Linked DNA regions of Kluyveromyces lactis. The protein of the gene in region 3 binds, or shares a complex with, the protein of the main gene of each other region. Links are inferred from orthologs where the notes say so. Each region holds a gene or a part of one and is shown on either strand. Other genes may lie near its edges. The genes, in order: MRPL22, RML2, MRPL11, IMG1, MRPL15, MHR1 and MRPL10.

Region 1 (2,588 bases), on a different chromosome or scaffold from region 3:
AGAATACACATCTGTTGAGGGTACAGAAGCTACTGCCACTGTGCCTACACCGACTTGGTTAACGTTGACCACTGAAGTACCGTCTTCTGAAACTGTGGTTTATTACACACGAGATTTCATCTTTACTGACACTTCAACCACCTTTACTAAAGGACTACCGACACTTACAGTGATACCCACAGAGGCTACTTTCACTACACCTACAGGTCCAGTTGTGACTGACACATCTTTTTACGAAAGATGGCTATCTGGCGCATTGGATTCCAACTCAACATCGTCTGGATCAAATAAAGATACAATAATCGGTGGTGTAATAGGAAGCGTGGGAGGTCTGGCGCTAATGATACTGGTGATCTATTTATTATTTAGGAAGAGACGAAGGAGAAATCTTATCGAACACGAAAAGAGCTTCTCCCACGACATTGGGAGAAAAATGGGATACGACGATATCGGAACGTTTATTGCACAGTCTCAGCAAACCACCAAGACTACAACCAGAGTATCGACGACTGCTCATAATAATAACAAAGTTTCAAAAAGTTTGCCCTCAGTGCCTCCATATGTTGCAGATTCTGTCAGGAGGCCACAGACGACAAATCCATTCGACGACGAATATGTTGTATCGATTGCAGATCCAGAGTCTCAGACGCCTTCCACAACATCACTACATTCATCCTTTGTGTCATCTTCCACCGATGAGGGTACACATGACACTGAAATGTCAGTTACTTACGATGAAAACCCACAGAACGCTCACGGATATTTAACGGAACTAATCGAACACTGATCTTACCAAACTCTAATTACAAAGTTTTCAAATTTGTACTTAAATTTTCCCTTCTATTCAATATACTTCTTTGTGCATCTTCAGTTATATAGTTCATATTTAAGGTTTAATTCCTAGCAATTCCACACTAACGCTTTTCTAATTTGTGATCTTACAACCCGTCAAGATAGTCGGACTTCAATATCTTCCTCCACACAGTAGAACCATTCCTTATATCTTCATGCCCGTTCACGATGATTTATATTTCCTAACCATCGAACAAAAAAATTTTGATAATCAAACATTGTACAGAAGAAGGATTGATCAAAGTAATAAAATGCCTACAGTATAATACTAGAGGCACGTGTAAATTACATGGTTAGTTGCAGGCTCTGTCATCAGTTCAACCTATATAAAATTTAATGCTATCGAGGACAGTAACTAGCCTGTTCGGCTTGGGAAAGGCTTCCGGTGTAAGAAGTTTTCAAGCTTCAGCATTGCAGCTACAAAAATCTGCACAAGGTTCGCTATTCGGTGAAGTCACCGATGGAGTGAATCCGTTGAAGGATGACGATCCAAATAAACTATCTAATAAGTTGACTACTGCTACCGAACTGTCAGATGATTTGGATGCTGCTACCCAGCTGGCAGAGGCTAAAAAGAAAGTTACAGCAGCCAATGATACACAATTACAGAAATATATCGAAGAACAAGACCCCATGATCAAAAGTTTACCAGAATTTTTGTTACCAAGAGTTAAGAAGGAATTCTATGAACAACAGGTTAGGTTGAACGGTGGGTTTTACGACAAAAGCGTGCGCCCTAAAGATCGTTCTTTGAGATTAACGAATGAAGAATTAGAAGTGCTTGAACCTAGTGTCTATGTTAAATCTTACAGAGTAAAATCATCTATGAAGAAGGCCACACAGCTGCTTAGACTTTTGAACGGATTGGACGCTAAGAAAGCTTTGACTCAATGTCATTTCTCCGATAAAAAGGTTGCCCGTGATGTTGCCGAATTATTGGAGCGCGGTATTAATGATGGTGTGAAGCTTGGCTTGGATGCCAATGACCTATACATCTCCCAGATATGGACCGGCAGTGATGGATTTTGGCAAAAACGTGTCGAATGGAAGGGTAGAGGTAGACGTGGTCTCATTGAACACCCATATGTGCATATCAAATGCATATTGAAGACCAAGAGTGTAACGAAGAGAAGACTAGAGCACGAAGCCAAACTAAAAGAACAAAGGAAGAAACCGTGGGTTCAATTAGCAGATAAACCCATCAGAGGTTCTATGGGTGGTGTTTACAAATGGTAATGAGATATTAAACATTATCATATTACGTTTATTTCCAATGATAATGGGTGAAGATAATATACAGCAATTAAATCATCAATAATAAGGTCCTTAGATTGTCTTTGGGTTTCATCTCAAGTTATCCATGTCGGAATAGCCAAGTATTTCATATCATTTATATAATATATAGAACAAGAGCTTGTAAATAGTGAAAGCAACGCGAAATACTTCACCGCATCAAACTGTAAGGAAACAAATTTCGTCTATTTCTTCTTCTTAGATTCCGTTTTAGCTGGTTCAGTAGTTTTCTCCGCCTTCTGTTGGTTAGCGGCAGATTCCTTCAATTGGTCTTTCCTCCATTGATCTAATCTTTGTTCATATTCCCAGGTACTGTACCACAAACCTCCTTGCAACACTAAGACACCAGCAAAGACAATTAAAATAATGATATTGGAAGAGGCAACAACAGCAATACCTTGCGCCTCAGAGACTTCACCCCAGTTATGGTAAACCGCAGATTC
Region 2 (3,103 bases), about 110 kb from region 3:
CATGAATGCACGTATAAATAAGGAATCAAAAAAATGTAACAAAAAAAGGAGGAATAGAAGCAGAAGAAATCCCTTTCAGAAAGGCCCTGTGTGTATCGCTAACGGTTTAGATTTGTGGTTCACTGTCTCAGAGCTCTGTATAATCTAGGATCCTACGTTTTTAGTCCTAAGATAACACTTTTATTTCTATTGACATCTTTTCAAGACGTGTTTACAATTCAGATACCGGCACCAAAAATAAAAAAACACACACTACCGAAAAGCACAAGTTACAAGTACAAGAATGGAACAGCTAATGCTATATATAAACGTATTCAGGACTGTTAGAGATAACAAAAAGCGTGTTTCTAATCCTTTAAAATTTTGAATTTTATTCATGATTAGCATGGAAACTTTTAGTTCATCATTAATAGGTCTATATATTTAAGATAGAGAATGCCGAGTAATCCACTGACACATCTAACGTACACTTCGACTACCCGAATATATCCGGAAATGAAGAAAGTCAAACAAACAAGAAGATATAACTTGTACTGTATTGCCTGGACAGTTTATTTTAATAAAGTAATCGATTGATCAGAATTTTCAGTGTTTGGCTAATGCTAGTCGAATCGTTCATATTTTCGAAATCCGTTTGGGGCGACAGCGGTCATCATAATCGATATACTCAAAAAAAAAACAATCCAAATGATGGTATTTCCATACAGACAGTCATTATCTTCGTCGTTCCTTTTACTTGTTCATTTCCCGACATGAAGAGGAATTTGATTTCCGTTTGAGTTCAGTAAAAAAGACAGAATACGTTGCGAACAGGAACTCCTGTTCCTGATACACTACAAATCGAATCCTTGTTGGTTATGTCTCTAACTCTAATTAAAAGCTTTGTAACGGATAATAAAGTATTCGTGATGAGATAGAAACTTACCTCAAAATTTTTCACTTTTCCAGTTATTTAAACTAAAAACCATAAAACAGAAAGAATAGTCAATCTAACCATGAGAGACTGGTCTGCCATTAGGGCACAAAATAAGTACACAAAGATTTCCTGAATCACGTGACCAAATATTATATAATCCGGGTAAATTCAGAATACGTTCATAGTGATACTTCTTGCAAAAAATTCCATTTGACGATATTCCTCTGATGGTATTGAAGCTGTTTGAAATTAGAGATCGCTTGAAAGATTTTGATATTAACAAAAATGAACAATGTAATTGCAATGACTTAAACATTTTAAACTATGGATATTGATATATATAAGGGTGGATATATCTATAACAAATCTTATTAAGATCAGAGTTATTTTATTATTTCTGTGAAGGGCAGTAGCAAAGCGGAGATATTGGTATTAGACGGTTTACCCTAAGAATCTCGTTAGGTGCTCTGGATATAATATCATGTTCAAGCAATTCAACTTGAGATGCCTGACGCCGCTTGCCAGCGGCGTCTCCTCAAGAGTTCAAGTTCCGTGGAATGTTTCGATGATAATGTCTTTGAACAATACTTCACTTGGTGGAATCAGATCTATGGCCAGCATCACTCCAACCGGGAATGAAGAACAATCTTCAGTTGACGATGTCAATGTCCATATGTTGAAAATCGTTCCTAATAACACAGATGTGGTAGCACTAGAGAAGCAAGACGAATTGTTAAGAAGAAGAAGAAAGTTGGCTAAGGAAGTTACACAAATGAAGAAATTGAAACCGGTTTCTCCAGGTTTGAGATGGTACCGTGCGCCAATTTATCCATATTTGCATAAGGGAAGACCTGTTAAATCTTTGACTCTTGCCAAGAGAGGAAATGGTGGTAGAAACCATAGTGGTAAGATCACGGTGAGACATCGTGGTGGTGGTCATAAAAGAAGATTGAGAACAGTCGATTTCAGTCGTTTCGAATCTGGTATGCAAACTGTGGAAAGAATCGAATACGATCCTGGTAGAAGTGCACATATTGCATTGATAAAACATAACGATACTGGTGCCCTAAGCTACATTTTAGCATGTGATGGGCTAAGAGCTGGGGATACCATCGAATCATACAGAAAAGGTATTCCACCATCATTTTTGAAAGAAATGGGTGGGAAGATCGATCCTGCCATCTTATCTGTTAGAACAGCTCAAAGAGGTAACTGTCTACCAATCTCTATGATCCCAATCGGATCCATCGTTCATAATATTGGTATCACTCCTACAGGTCCAGGTAAGTTCTGTCGTGCTGCTGGTTCTTACGCACGTATCTTATCCAAGATCCCAGAAAAGAATAAAGCTGTTGTCCGTCTACAAAGTGGTGAGCACCGTTACGTATCATTGGAAGCTGCAGCTACCATGGGTGTTGTCTCAAATATTGACCATCAAAACCGTTCTCTAGGTAAAGCTGGTAGATCTAGATGGTTGGGTATAAGACCAACTGTCAGAGGTGTGGCAATGAACAAATGTGACCATCCTCACGGTGGTGGTAGAGGTAAATCTAAGTCCAAAAAGTTGTCCATGTCTCCATGGGGTCAATTGGCCAAGGGTTACAAGACAAGAAGGGGTAAGCATCAAAACAAAATGAAGGTTAAAGATAGACCAAGAGGTAAGGCTGGTAGAAAGGCTAGACAATGATAAGCTTCCCCACAACTGATCCTATCTTAAATATCATCAGTTTTTGTAAACTTATTTCAATGACTTCCATCCTGTAAATATCGTAGAACTAGTTAATTTAAAGAAATAACATAACATCTGTTCAGTTACCAACTCTATTTTAAACAAAGTTTAGATTACTACATCCAGAGCATCATTTGGTCTCTTCTTCCAGCTTAAATTCCCAGTTCCCAAGTTCGAATAAGGAACCAACGACTAACCTTACATGCTGGGCCATGTGATCAAATGAAAGTCTGTCTAAAGTGTCCATCGTACTGTGAATGTATTTGTTAGATTTGTTGAACTCACTTTCAATGACAAAGGAAGCGGGGAATCCATTCTTCGTTGCACTTCCGTGATCACTACATGCATATCCACATTCCGTTTCCACGTAAGGAATATCCAAGAATCTTCTTATAATCAACTTAATAAATTCAGTTAGACCTGGCGTGGTATAATCAGTAATGACACCAACATGCTCA
Region 3 (2,684 bases):
TTGGATACTCCAACTGATGATCACTGAATGGATTCGAATGTGCTCTTTGTCTGTAAAACTTTTTTTTAGGTAAAGATAGTTTATCCACCTTTTCAATCACAGATTCATCGATCTTGACATGTTTCAATTCTTTGCGATGATCTTGCTTCTCAGCACGATACGCCTGGCGTCTAGTACTAAAACTCATATTTTCTAACAAAGGCAGTTATAGGAAATTTGAGTCACTGTTAGAATTCAATTATGTTTATTCAACACACATTAACGGTTGGTGGAAGTAACTGCTTTGAAAAATTGTAACCTCATCGCCTAGGTTTTCTCGACTCAATTGATTCAGTGCATGTTCAAAAACTTTTTATTTCTTTACAATATACAAATGAGATCAAAAAAAGTCACGTGCAAAGAATATGTACAGGAGTTTATATTAATATGTGATGGGTTTATTTAAGTACATCGATACGTAAAAATGATTTATATTACATTTCATGATGGGGCAAAAGACTTTAATTTCCTTCGCTGTCATTCTCGTTTTTCTGCTTATCTGGGTTAATATTATCTTCGTGAGACTTTAGAGTTAGGTACAACATGTTTGAGCCAGCTTCTAAAGTTTGAACTAAACCAGCACCGCTCAAGACGTGCAATAGTCCCAGTAATTCTGATTGTAATTGACTTTTTGTTGGTAGATCCTTGAAAGAATCCAATTGTCTCAAATCGTACGCATCATTTTCAACTTTGGCGCCAATAACGAATAACTTGTCTTGGGCTTTTTCCAATAATTTCATGACTTTTTTTACCTTTGCCGGATCAGTCTCTGGGAACGAAATTGCTGCCGTAGGACCTTTGAACAAGGGCAGTAAAGGATGCTTCCAGTCTTGTTCTGAACGTTTCGCTGGAGCAGCTGGGTCATTTTTGCGTGAGTTTCTCAAGTATACTTGGAACAAATTGTTTCTCAAGATTGTTAACTTGCCTCCTACCTTATTAATTTCTTCTCTGAAGTGTGCATTCTCCCCTTTCATCAAATTGTTATGATGACAAAACAACATTACCGGACTGGTTTCCATCAGGTTTTTGTAAGAGTCGATTAGGAAAGTCTTACGAGAGTCCAAAGGCTTTACTGTTCTTCTAACTGCATCCGAGACAGTTCTCTCAATTTGCGTAGAGGCAAACCTCCTAACCAAAAACGGAGAAGCATATGAGACACGGGATACCACCACTGGGCTTCTTAACAAAAGTGACAACATGGCTATTTTGAGTGGTTGGTGATGACCTGAGCTGTGGATTCGAATCACTTTAAGCGAATTCATTCCCACCAATATATCTCTTCACTACAATATATCAATCTTCAGTGATTTTTCAGATTTTTCATTTTTTTTCAGATTTTTCAGTATCGTCGAATTTCAATACTTGGTACAATAAACCGACGAGAGGCATAGTTAGATTCAATGTAAGAAGGTATGAATGGTAATTGGAAGTGGTATGAGTGCCAAAATCGGTATCAACAATGGAGAAGGGAATGAAGACTTTCTCGTATATTTTCCATGGCAGCAAAAAATGTATATTGGTAATTTTTTATATATCTTCTTTATAGTATATATAATCCCGAATGAGGCAAAGGTCGATTCACGTGACTGTTCAAATTAAAATGATAGAGGAATTGGTGAGTTCTGCTCTTCTTTTCGAACTGCAAACTGTCATTGCTATCGTCAACATCATGCTTAAATAATGTAATCCGTTATAGACGTCTCCTGTCCAAGCTAGGAGGGATGTCGAAAGATTAGATTTCTTCCTTACAAAAGGTAGTCCGGGATTTATAGGGTCGTAGTGAAATTGTGAAGAGATGCAACTCTACTTCGTCATTGAAAAAATAAATGCAGTCATGTAACTGACGAGAATAATGCACAATTAGTGTAACTTCATCGTTCCATTGTGGAATTTGTCGCTATTCGGGATTTTCGTACATTTGAAACAGCATAGCTCTGTGCTGTAACGGTCTGGAAAATTATCTCATCTCATCGACAAGGGTTTGCATTAGTTGTCTCGCATCCATATCACGGATACGGCTGACATTGGATCCTGCCCAATGTGCTGCGAAAGAATTTGCGGTACCATCATGATCTGGAATAGACACGGCATTTAACTGCTTCCCCACATCGTATGTAAATGGATACCCTGGATGTATCACTCTAGTTGGAATATCCACCTCAGTGTGCCAACTATTCAACAAAGCTCGCGCCGGACGACCTGATATGCTGCTTGTGATTTGAGTTATGTCATTTCTTGTTTTGTCAAATAATAATTTCCTGTAATTTTCTGACGCAGCCGATTCTTTGCATTGGACAAATGCGGTTCCTAATTGAGCACCACTGGCACCTACTTCCATCATTCCTTTAATATCTTGACCAGACATTATTCCTCCTGCTGCTACTATAGGAATAGTTGTGCCCAACTTTGCTTTTAGTAATTTCACCAAATCTCTCGTGGATATTGCCGGATCTAATGATGCGTTAAACATTCCCCGATGACCACCCGCTTCGACACCTTGAGCGATTAGGATATCTATCCCGTGCCCAATAGCCAATTCAGCCTCACTTAATTGAGTCACACTTGCCATCGTGACAACTCCCGCTTGCTTCAATGATTTTAAAGTGCTCGCAGATGGCACTCCGAAATGGAAACTAACCACTTTC
Region 4 (2,282 bases), on a different chromosome or scaffold from region 3:
ATTCAAAATTTTAAAGCTCATCTCGGTCATCGCCAAACATTTACGAACTAACAATGGCTACTTGAGCAAGCTGTTTGCATTGATATGCTCTGTTAATCAACTGACGGGAATAAAGTATAATAGGATAACAATTACAAGAAGTTTGAGATCGAAATGTCACGTCCAGAAGATTTGGCACCACCAGAAGTGTTTTACAATGACAGTGAATCTAAGAAGTATAGTGGCTCCACAAGAGTGCAACATATTCAAGCTAAAATGACACTTCGGGCCTTAGAACTTCTCAACCTGCCACATACATCATATATCTTGGATATTGGGTGTGGGTCTGGTTTAAGTGGTGAAATCATCACTGAAGAAGGACATATATGGTGTGGATTAGACATTTCTCCTAGTATGTTAGCTGAAGCGCTAGAAAGAGAAGTTGAAGGTGATCTTATGTTACACGATATAGGTCAAGGTATTCCATTTAGAGCAGGTGTATTTGATGCGGCAATTAGTATATCTGTGATTCAATGGTTATGTAATGCGGACACATCGTACAACGATCCAAAGAGAAGGCTCATGAGGTTCTTCAATACACTATTTGCTAGTTTGAAGAAAGGAGGAAAATTTGTAGCACAATTCTATCCAAAGAATGATGATCAAATAGACCAAATCTTGGGAGCAGCAAAAGTAGCTGGATTCTCTGGTGGCCTTGTCATTGATGATCCCGAGTCCAAAAAGAACAAGAAGTACTACTTGGTATTAAGCTCCGGATCTACAGAACAGAATGAACAAGTCAACTTGGATGGTGTTAAGATGGATGCAGATCTAATGGTAAAGAGAGAGCGTAAAAAGAAACTAGTTGAATCAAGTAAGGATTACATCAACAGAAAGAAGGAGGTGATGAAAAAAAGAGGTAGAAAGGTAGCTCTCGACTCGAAGTTTACGGGTAGAAAGAGAAGACCTAGGTTTTAGTATGGTCTTGCATATATAGAATTAGTAGATACGCACTTAATACAATCAGCAAACATGGACTGAAACGTTATCATTCATTCACCATTTTCCGTGTCTATTGCATCTGCCATGATCAAAACGTTTAAAATGATCATCAAACCTATGTTGTAGTTTTCCATAGAAAGAACATTCGAAAATTTTGGTTAAAAAAGATGGAAACATAAGTACCTAAGAGTTAAGAAAGCACTGAAGCGCAGTTTATATTTGAGTTTAAGCCTTTACTACCCGTCAGATCAAGTTCCCATTCCAAAACTATATTAGTCCCATACAATGTTAAAGAGACTACTACCTACCGTTATCAGACAATCTGTTAGAAGTTATCAACTTCCAGCTAAGAGTGGAAGAAAGATTATTCCAGTTTACCCACCAGTTGAAAGAATATCCTCCCCATTAGTAGTGAAGACTCTAGCTGATCATGATCTAAAACAACTTGACCCAACTGGTGTAAAAACAGAGATGGTTTCAAAGAAAAACCCAAATCGTCTACGTGCAGGTGATGTTCTTCGTGTAGTTTACGATTCCAAGAAATGCAACTACGATAGTTTTACTGGATATGTGCTATCGGTAGACCGTAAGCCAATAGTACAAGACACATCCATTCTATTAAGAGATTATATTTATAAAACCTGTGTGGAAATGAGAGTGCCAATCTTCTCACCATTGGTAGAGAGAATTGATTTGATTAGAAGAGCGGATGGTAAGAGACGCAGAAGTAAACATTATTACATCAGAAACACCAGATTGGATGTCGGAGATTTGGAAGCAAGTATGAGAAAGAAGAAATGAGCACATTCACACTATCAAACACTTGCTGAATTTTCATAAAATGAAACATGTACATAGAAGCAATTCAAACATATAGTAAGTAATGCTCGATATCAATGCAAACCCAAAGACAAGGAAGATTCAAAGTTGAAAGAGCTCCAGAGTTGAACCATAATGCAAGGTACTCTATGCAGGTCCAGCTTCTCTAGGTAAAGTTATTTGTATCATTAGCATGTCGGGTGGATATATAATTGTATAATCTGTAAAATAAAAAGGCGGATTATGCTAGTCCTTATACCTCATCAAGTGCATCCAATAAGAAAGGAAAATCATGAGAAAGGATAAGCATAAGAAAGGATTTGTACGCTCTATCTAAAACAAAGCTGCATTGAGTGAGCAAGTTGCTCTATTAGAAATGAAAAGATTACAAGCAATTTTGGTCCGCATTTTTGATAATTTATGAAGGTTCTTGATTGGTTCAAAAAAGTAGTGGTATAATGTTATGAAAGCCGTACCAGCCG
Region 5 (2,370 bases), on a different chromosome or scaffold from region 3:
AAATCGGTATAGATTCACTTTGAATCGGAGTTGGTTCAGTGAAGTTATTTTCTATGAGGTTGTTTAACAATCTCTTATCGAATTGGAACCTTGTGATCAAGTCTTCAAAAGAACCGATGGGCAAAGGAACACTATTCCCTGAAACATTCCCTTGATAAGATTTACGTAACTTTAACGCATCTTGTTTCGTGATAATTTTCCCGGATAACTCAGTCTCGTCATCAGCATGATCTTCGTCTTCTTCTTGATTATCTTCTTGTACTTCGTCTTCACCTTCACCTTTGGTTGACTCAGACTTTACCTTATTCATGATTTTCTTATTACGGAAAAAATCCAACTCCTTAGTCAATTGTTGTTCATCTCTAGCTGGTGTACTTGAGCTGCCAGCTGTCTTACTCTTCTTTTCATTAGCCATGCTAAAGTCTGCAGACTGTGTTCTATTAGAATCACCATTCTTCCTTATGCTAGCTCCACGAGTCAAGACTCTAAAGATATCCATGTTAATTAGCGGTGCTAGTATTGGCCTGTGAGAAGTTACTTAGTAATGAGAATAAATTCGATAGTAAACCACTGTGAGTGATATAATCAATCTCTTACTACTCTCTCATCTCATCTCATCTCATCTCATCGCCTACATCTAATTGCAGTTTTTTCAATTAAAATTGATCTTACTGAAGCGTTTCTTTTCACAAAACTTAGGGTACAATAAGTGTAAAAATCGATATAAAAGTACTTCTCAAGGCATAAAGATGCAGCAAAGCTTACTTTAAGATACAGCTGGTATTAAGCCCTCATAATACCAGCCCATAATGACCATATTCCCTTGATAACAGTACCTAATGCCTTGATATTGCATGTATTCCCATCATACAAGATAGCACTTAGACACAGCGATGACCTCGTTTGGAGTGATCTGAAAAATTTTGAAAAATTTCAAAATTTGGATCGCTGCCTCGAGTCGAAAAACTACAAAGAAACAGTTTGAATCGTAGTTAAAAGGACTAAACTGTTAGAATTAAGATTCAATAATTCTAATATTTGTGTCCTGTGTAATTACAATCTGTTGATATTCGGTCGAGGAAGATTGAATTGTGAAAATACCAGACAGAAACCATTCAGACAGTATTTTTTTACTTCTGGAATAATGTCCTTAACCAAAATTGGTCTTAACTTAAGCACAAAATTCGGCGTGCGTAATGGTTCTTATCTACACGTTGGGACTAGGGTACGTGGTTTGAAAAGAGACCCAGTTGAGTCTTTGAAGAATCCACACGGTTTGCACTATGATTCTCTTGTCAAGGATGGCCATGTATCTACTGTTAAGCAAGGTTTGAATTTGGAAAAATATGGTATTGACTTGCCAGACGACATCATTACACAATGTTTGACTCACAAGTCGTTTGCCCAAGGTATTAAACCATACAATCAGAAATTGTCTATTATCGGTGGTCATTTTGTGAAATATCAAGCTTGTCTTCATTCCTTGGGTCTACCTGTTTCTGAAAGGCAACTATCACAAAGCGTACAGTCTGAACCTGTTATTAACGGACTAAATTTCGGTATGCTTGGGAAGGGAAGTTCTAAAATGTTAATATCCAAACAGAGTACGGCTGAATTTTTGCAAAGGAGAAACCTAGATAAATTAGTGTTTTGGAACAAACGAGACACTCAAAAAAGTCACAAATATAACGGTGAGTATACCGTGCTACAAACTGTGCTAAATTCTGTGGTCGGCAGTGTCTATCTATTGCACGGTCAAGACAAGGCCACCGAATACGTGTTGCATGAACTATTCAGCGACAATAGTGATTCCCTAACGAAGATATCTGAAAGTTTGTTAGCAAACAGGGATACGACCGAGAAGTTATAATATTATGTCTAATTTTACACGACAGGAAAGAAAGAGAAATGGAATACACAATAGACTTCGACATCAATAAAAAGCACTCGAGTGAATGGTCTCCATCGGAGTTGGGAAAGAGCTTTCAAAACTTGTATATATATATTTCGAAACGGAAGTTTCAATCACAGCTCTTGGTCAATGTGGTGTTTTAATCTACTCTTTCATCCCTGCTCAATTTCAACGTTTTATTATAATGAATTTACCAAAAGCATGAAAAGCATAACCTTTTAACGACACTCCATCGTCACACTTCAATTAAAAATGAACCTCGAAAGAAACGCGCGCACTGTATATATCTCATGTATCTCTAGAAATATAGACGTACATAAATTTACAACTAAATCTATCATTAATTAAATGTTAACATACAAAATAAAAACAGATTAAGAAAAGTACATAATACAATACATGTATATAAATACATATATAACTTCATAGAAGGGATGTTTTTTGCTGGTAATTTACTT
Region 6 (2,329 bases), on a different chromosome or scaffold from region 3:
TTATGCTAGAAAAACTAAGAAAAACCCGAAGCCTCTAAGGGAAAACAGGATTGTCGTTAAAGAAACACCAGAGAAAACCAGAGAAACGGTGTTAAGGTTTCTCAAATTTGGTCATGTGACATTTTTTTTGCTTTTTCTTTGGTGTCCGGGTTCCTGCTTCTTCTTCCGTTAGGCGTTAATGCATGCATGAGACACATATGGTATGAAGCGGTAGAAAAGTAGAGGAAGTAATATGATGATTACAGAACCTTTGATATTTAGGTTACGTGATGATGGAAACAAGGGAGAAAACTGCTAGTAATCACCTTGTCAAATCAGTTAAACGCCGGTAGTGAGCTGAGGGTTTGTTTATATTATTTACAGAGTCGGATTGTCTGCGGGTTATATATGTACATGTAGTGATTTCTTAAAGACGTGACGAGTGAAGCAGTGAAAGATCTGAGCTCGGCTCAGCTTTTGCAACTGGAAATAGTTTGTATTTGCTTGTTTTCTTTTGTAACTCATAGAGAGATGTTTTGAGCAGCTGACTCCTGTTGTCTCACTCTTGCGAACTCTTCTTTGGCTCTTTCGCCTAGTTCTTTCAAAATTGCACTTTCCTCTCTGGAAACGTTCCCCAAACGTTCTAGTGTTGTGTGATTCAACTCTGGCAATACTGGGTTCCAGTATTTCTCTTTATCCCCCATTCTCCATTCGTCTTCCCAATGGACCTTAATGGACGATTGGACGTCTTTCAACTTTAGGAGACATTCTCGCAAATCGGCAACCGCTTCTTGAGAGTATGTTGGTCTGTATTGCGATGAGTACCATGTGTGGCCGGACTCATTCTTCTTTCTCATGTCTTTTGCCTGTTTACTGAATGTCACATCACGGAGATATCTTAATCTGCACAAATTCTGGTATACTTTTACACTCTTGTCGTAGTCTGGTAGATCAACAACAGCCATACATTTCCAAATATCACGTCTGGTGCTTGGTTTCTTATTCTCCCAGTTGGGTCTTTGGAAATTGGTATCAATTTGCTTCCAAGAAAAAGTCGGGAATTGAGAGTACAGCACTTGTCCACTCTCTAGGTTTCTGAATAAAAAGACTTGTGGTGCATACCCTGCTTTCTGTAGCCAGTTGGCTGGACGGAACTTGGTAATAGCTAAATGCTTGCTCATCTCTTCCTAGTGCCCTATGGTGTCTTCAAGCCTTATTTGTTAACAACAAAAGCCTTGATCCTCAGAGTTCTCTTCTATCTCCAGTGCTATTGATGGACTTCTGAAGAGTTATTTAAATACAATGTGTGCACAAATGTGGTGATCTCTTCTGTAATCAAGCTAAACTAACTATCAGCTTTCTCTTTTTCAAAATTTTTCAGCTTTTTCAGATGCCATAAACAACTTCGTAGAAACACTGAAAATTAAAGAGAATGAACCTAATATATACATTACCCGGATCTTGTGATGATATTGAATTCTCCGCTACCTGCTCTATCTTATCTTGGATCTCATCTCCAGAGAAAGGTTTTCCTATCAGCAGACACGCACAGTAGAGTTATCACCTTCATCCGTCAAGTGTCCGCATATTCCACCATCTAGAACTTGATGTTTGAATTGAATTATGGAGCCGTTCCTACGTCCCGGACAGATTGCTTAGCTAGAGTTCTCGATTGTGGAGATGATAACCGTGGATCGATAAGTGCCATTTGTGAGCCGGACTTGACAATTGACGGGAATTCAAGCCTAGCAAGCAGTGAGAATTATACCAATTGTAAAATCTGTGGAGGGTTTGCGAATTTTTTATGTTCAAGAGATTCACGAGCTGGGTGGTTTTGTTCTTTTTGTAATGCTTATAATGAACTAGGGAATATTCCATTATCATCGTCATACCTAAAACATTTAGGAACTGCTGCTGTGCCTACGCATTCCAAGTTCGCCATAATCATCGATCTTAATTGTGAATTTGAGGAAAATCTAGACGCGTTGAAGATGTTACAATTTGGTTCTGTCCAGTCATTGGCCCTGATCACGATTGAAGATGGGTCTGTCACTATTCATACTGACGGGTCACACATTACCGTAGATGCAGAATCTAGTAGTTGTATCAGCCATCTTAAGAAGCTTGACACAGAATGGTTCATTGCAAAGTATGGGCTTTTAGTGAGGAAGATTTGGACGGACCAAATATCTTTCGGTGCTAAACTCGCGGAACTTCTATGTCAACGGACTAGGTCAAAAAAAAGATGTAGAAGAAACACTGCACTCGCTATTTTTCTAGCACAATGTCTAAACCCATCACAATCCATTGCATTTGTTTTCGGACCCTGTACAGTAGCACCAGGTAAGGT
Region 7 (2,557 bases), on a different chromosome or scaffold from region 3:
GATTGGATAATAATGGAAACGAAATCAGTGATTCGCAAATCGTTAGTCCGTTTGGAGAAACTATGGATCAACCAGACCTAACACAACCTCCTGTACGTCCGACAATGGGAAATCCTAGATTCAGCAATGGTTCTTTACCAGATGTAACTCAACAAAGGCGACCGCTAAGAATCGCCAATCCAGATGAGCTGGATGATGAGGATACAGAATTCAATTCGATCATCGAAAATCTCAGGGGAGATTGATCCTGATACAATATAACATCATCTTTTTAACACATTTCGCTAAGATAATAGCATGATATACCCAATATCATCCCCTTGTTGTTGTCAAACAAAACAAACGCCAAAAGGAAATATTCCAAATATAAAACATCAACTAAGGCCCACAATAAGCCATGTTCCATACTCACTACTGATACTTGATACCCCTAATGAAAACTATCAACTGAGGATCAGTTAATTGTCTAACACTATAAACAAGACAAGTCACAAAATATATCGAAACGATTTATGTTATACTGATAAGTTGGGCTTTCACATATGTACATATATAACGTTATAATACTCATTTAATTTCTTCACATTTTACTTCAAGGTATCTTTATAATGGTTAATTGTCATGTTTACTGTCGGGAATTATTGTGCTACATTTTCATCTAGGGTAATTGTTTAAGGGATCCAAAAAAATGCTTCCAACCAGAGTCGAACTGATGATCTCCACATTACTAGTGTGGCGCCTTACCAACTTGGCCATAGAAGCTGTTTCTTGTCATAAAAAGAATTTACCACTATATACTCCTACGAGATTATTGCCTGCTACCAATTCTTTTCTGGTGGACCTAACCTATTTTGAACTGAGGAATACGCAGTTTATAATGTTACAGCTACATTTTTGAAAAACGTGATGCTAAAATAATAGTAGGTTTACTGAAATAGTTTCGGCTGTTTCAATTTGTCAATCTGCTAGGCGCATCTAAACACTTACATCAGCATTGCATACCCTCTTATCGTCTCCAAGCTCCCTCTGTGTCCTAGCGAATCTCAGCATTTTAAAAGGTTACCCGAATACCTAATTTCGAAAATTTTTTAGAATGAATATGGTTAACTTACAAGAAATTACTGGAGATGATTTGGATATTCAATGAATCTACTGGATATCTACTATTATCGATATTTAATAGCCCTATCTCGAGGTCTCACAATACTAGCACGATGTTTTCGATCAACAAAGTGGTGAATCCCTTTGGATCACTTATACAGAGATCATTTGTACGCCAAATCACGATCCTTGGTGGTTTAAAACCTGGTGAAGGCTCTAAGAAGAACTACAAAAGATTGGGTAGAGGTCCATCCAGTGGCAAAGGTAAGACTGCTGGTAGAGGTCAAAAGGGTCAAAAGGCCCGTGGTTATGTAAAATCATGGTTTGAAGGTGGTCAAACCCCAATCTTCAAATTGTTCCCAAAGCTAGGGTTCACCAACGTAACATCACTAAAATTGAAAGAATTAAACCTTGATAGAATAACGTGGTTCCACCAAAAGGGTCGCCTACATTTGGAGCCAGGTGAAACCTTGACGATGAAAAAGATGAAAGAAATCGGTTTGGTTACCGGCCCGATCAAAGATGGTATTAAGATTCTAGGTGATGGTAAATTCTCTTATAATCTTCCAATCAAGATTGAAGCTACTAGAGCTTCACAGGATGCAATTGAGGCAATCGAACATGCAGGCGGAAGTTTCACTGCTCGTTATTTCAACCGTCTTGGTCTAAGAGCCCATTTATCACCACATTGGTTCCTAGAAAAGTACGGAAGAGTTCCTCTACAAGCTAGACCCACAAAGAGGAAGGATATTGAATATTACTGTAACGAAGAAAAGAGAGGTTATTTGATTATGGAAAATGACCCATACTATCAACTTTTGCAGAAATCCAAAGATGAAGGCGGTAAAAATTTGGTTGCTCGGAAGACCAAGAAGTCCAAGCTTGAGTTGCAATTAGAGCAACTTGAGAACGATTTTGCTCCTGCTTCTCCAAATTCTGAAATTAAATCAAACTGAACATCATATAGCAATATAGAAATGCCCTGTATATAATACACATCATTCAACGCCATTTCTCCAGATTTATACACCATATCAATCAAATTGATATCTGTATTCACAAGTTGTAGCAACTTTTGTCTATTTAATGCTCTAAAGTCTAAAAATATAAGAATGAGCTTGTCTCACTTTTACACATCGTTTTGTGGAGTAGAAGACTCTGTGTTTTTGTTGTCCAACAATCTTTCTTCGAGAACCTGTAGGGCTAACTTTTTCCTTCTTTCTTCCGCTTCAGAGCCTTCAACAGGCTTAGCACCCCTCTTTTGAGCCAAAATGTTAGCTTGTTCGATATCGTATACTCTAAACGGAGTTGCAATACGCCAATCAACAATAAACTTCTGGTAAAGGTAATCAAATATTGGCTCAAGTACTGGTTTGACTAAATCCGGGAAGAAATATATCAATTGGAATGTCTCAGAGGCATCTCCTACCACTTCAAATTCAGCATCCTCAGCCAT

The links.
Region 1: MRPL11 (region 3) and MRPL22 share a complex: the UniProt entries of both Saccharomyces cerevisiae proteins name them as parts of the mitochondrial large ribosomal subunit. The link is inferred for Kluyveromyces lactis from reciprocal best matches to the Saccharomyces cerevisiae genes MRPL11 and MRPL22.
Region 2: MRPL11 (region 3) and RML2 share a complex: the UniProt entries of both Saccharomyces cerevisiae proteins name them as parts of the mitochondrial large ribosomal subunit. The link is inferred for Kluyveromyces lactis from reciprocal best matches to the Saccharomyces cerevisiae genes MRPL11 and RML2.
Region 4: MRPL11 (region 3) and IMG1 share a complex: the UniProt entries of both Saccharomyces cerevisiae proteins name them as parts of the mitochondrial large ribosomal subunit. The link is inferred for Kluyveromyces lactis from reciprocal best matches to the Saccharomyces cerevisiae genes MRPL11 and IMG1.
Region 5: MRPL11 (region 3) and MRPL15 share a complex: the UniProt entries of both Saccharomyces cerevisiae proteins name them as parts of the mitochondrial large ribosomal subunit. The link is inferred for Kluyveromyces lactis from reciprocal best matches to the Saccharomyces cerevisiae genes MRPL11 and MRPL15.
Region 6: MRPL11 (region 3) and MHR1 share a complex: the UniProt entries of both Saccharomyces cerevisiae proteins name them as parts of the mitochondrial large ribosomal subunit. The link is inferred for Kluyveromyces lactis from reciprocal best matches to the Saccharomyces cerevisiae genes MRPL11 and MHR1.
Region 7: MRPL11 (region 3) and MRPL10 share a complex: the UniProt entries of both Saccharomyces cerevisiae proteins name them as parts of the mitochondrial large ribosomal subunit. The link is inferred for Kluyveromyces lactis from reciprocal best matches to the Saccharomyces cerevisiae genes MRPL11 and MRPL10.

What each region holds. Positions count from the first base shown.
Region 1 is NC_006040.1:702,267-704,854, forward strand, and holds MRPL22 (mitochondrial 54S ribosomal protein uL22m), read left to right. Parts: upstream 1-1,188; coding exon 1,189-2,088; downstream 2,089-2,588. Other genes in the region: TDA7 (Tda7p), read left to right, coding at 1-787; SHR3 (Shr3p), read right to left, coding at 2,331-2,588. UniProt on the Saccharomyces cerevisiae protein: Component of the mitochondrial ribosome (mitoribosome), a dedicated translation machinery responsible for the synthesis of mitochondrial genome-encoded proteins, including at least some of the essential transmembrane subunits of the mitochondrial respiratory chain.
Region 2 is NC_006037.1:183,120-186,222, reverse strand, and holds RML2 (mitochondrial 54S ribosomal protein uL2m), read left to right. Parts: upstream 1-1,397; coding exon 1,398-2,603; downstream 2,604-3,103. Other genes in the region: ERD1 (Erd1p), read right to left, coding at 1-3; KLLA0_A02013g (putative aminopeptidase), read right to left, coding at 2,776-3,103. UniProt on the Saccharomyces cerevisiae protein: Component of the mitochondrial ribosome (mitoribosome), a dedicated translation machinery responsible for the synthesis of mitochondrial genome-encoded proteins, including at least some of the essential transmembrane subunits of the mitochondrial respiratory chain.
Region 3 is NC_006037.1:292,829-295,512, forward strand, and holds MRPL11 (mitochondrial 54S ribosomal protein uL10m), read right to left. Parts: upstream 1,239-2,684; coding exon 501-1,238; downstream 1-500. Other genes in the region: TRM8 (tRNA (guanine46-N7)-methyltransferase), read right to left, coding at 1-187; KLLA0_A03289g (putative nitronate monooxygenase), read right to left, coding at 1,997-2,684. UniProt on the Saccharomyces cerevisiae protein: Component of the mitochondrial ribosome (mitoribosome), a dedicated translation machinery responsible for the synthesis of mitochondrial genome-encoded proteins, including at least some of the essential transmembrane subunits of the mitochondrial respiratory chain.
Region 4 is NC_006042.1:571,743-574,024, forward strand, and holds IMG1 (mitochondrial 54S ribosomal protein bL19m), read left to right. Parts: upstream 1-1,266; coding exon 1,267-1,782; downstream 1,783-2,282. Other genes in the region: BUD23 (18S rRNA (guanine1575-N7)-methyltransferase), read left to right, coding at 154-957. UniProt on the Saccharomyces cerevisiae protein: Component of the mitochondrial ribosome (mitoribosome), a dedicated translation machinery responsible for the synthesis of mitochondrial genome-encoded proteins, including at least some of the essential transmembrane subunits of the mitochondrial respiratory chain.
Region 5 is NC_006039.1:1,528,070-1,530,439, reverse strand, and holds MRPL15 (mitochondrial 54S ribosomal protein mL57), read left to right. Parts: upstream 1-1,144; coding exon 1,145-1,870; downstream 1,871-2,370. Other genes in the region: RNA-dependent ATPase ROK1, read right to left, coding at 1-499; KLLA0_C17380g (uncharacterized protein), read right to left, coding at 2,365-2,370. UniProt on the Saccharomyces cerevisiae protein: Component of the mitochondrial ribosome (mitoribosome), a dedicated translation machinery responsible for the synthesis of mitochondrial genome-encoded proteins, including at least some of the essential transmembrane subunits of the mitochondrial respiratory chain.
Region 6 is NC_006039.1:893,436-895,764, forward strand, and holds MHR1 (mitochondrial 54S ribosomal protein mL67), read right to left. Parts: upstream 1,161-2,329; coding exon 501-1,160; downstream 1-500. Other genes in the region: GTPase-activating protein NEL1, read left to right, coding at 1,587-2,329. UniProt on the Saccharomyces cerevisiae protein: Component of the mitochondrial ribosome (mitoribosome), a dedicated translation machinery responsible for the synthesis of mitochondrial genome-encoded proteins, including at least some of the essential transmembrane subunits of the mitochondrial respiratory chain.
Region 7 is NC_006039.1:1,033,445-1,036,001, reverse strand, and holds MRPL10 (mitochondrial 54S ribosomal protein uL15m), read left to right. Parts: upstream 1-1,127; coding exon 1,128-2,057; downstream 2,058-2,557. Other genes in the region: WSC2 (Wsc2p), read left to right, coding at 1-245; KLLA0_C12111g (uncharacterized protein), read right to left, coding at 2,231-2,557. UniProt on the Saccharomyces cerevisiae protein: Component of the mitochondrial ribosome (mitoribosome), a dedicated translation machinery responsible for the synthesis of mitochondrial genome-encoded proteins, including at least some of the essential transmembrane subunits of the mitochondrial respiratory chain.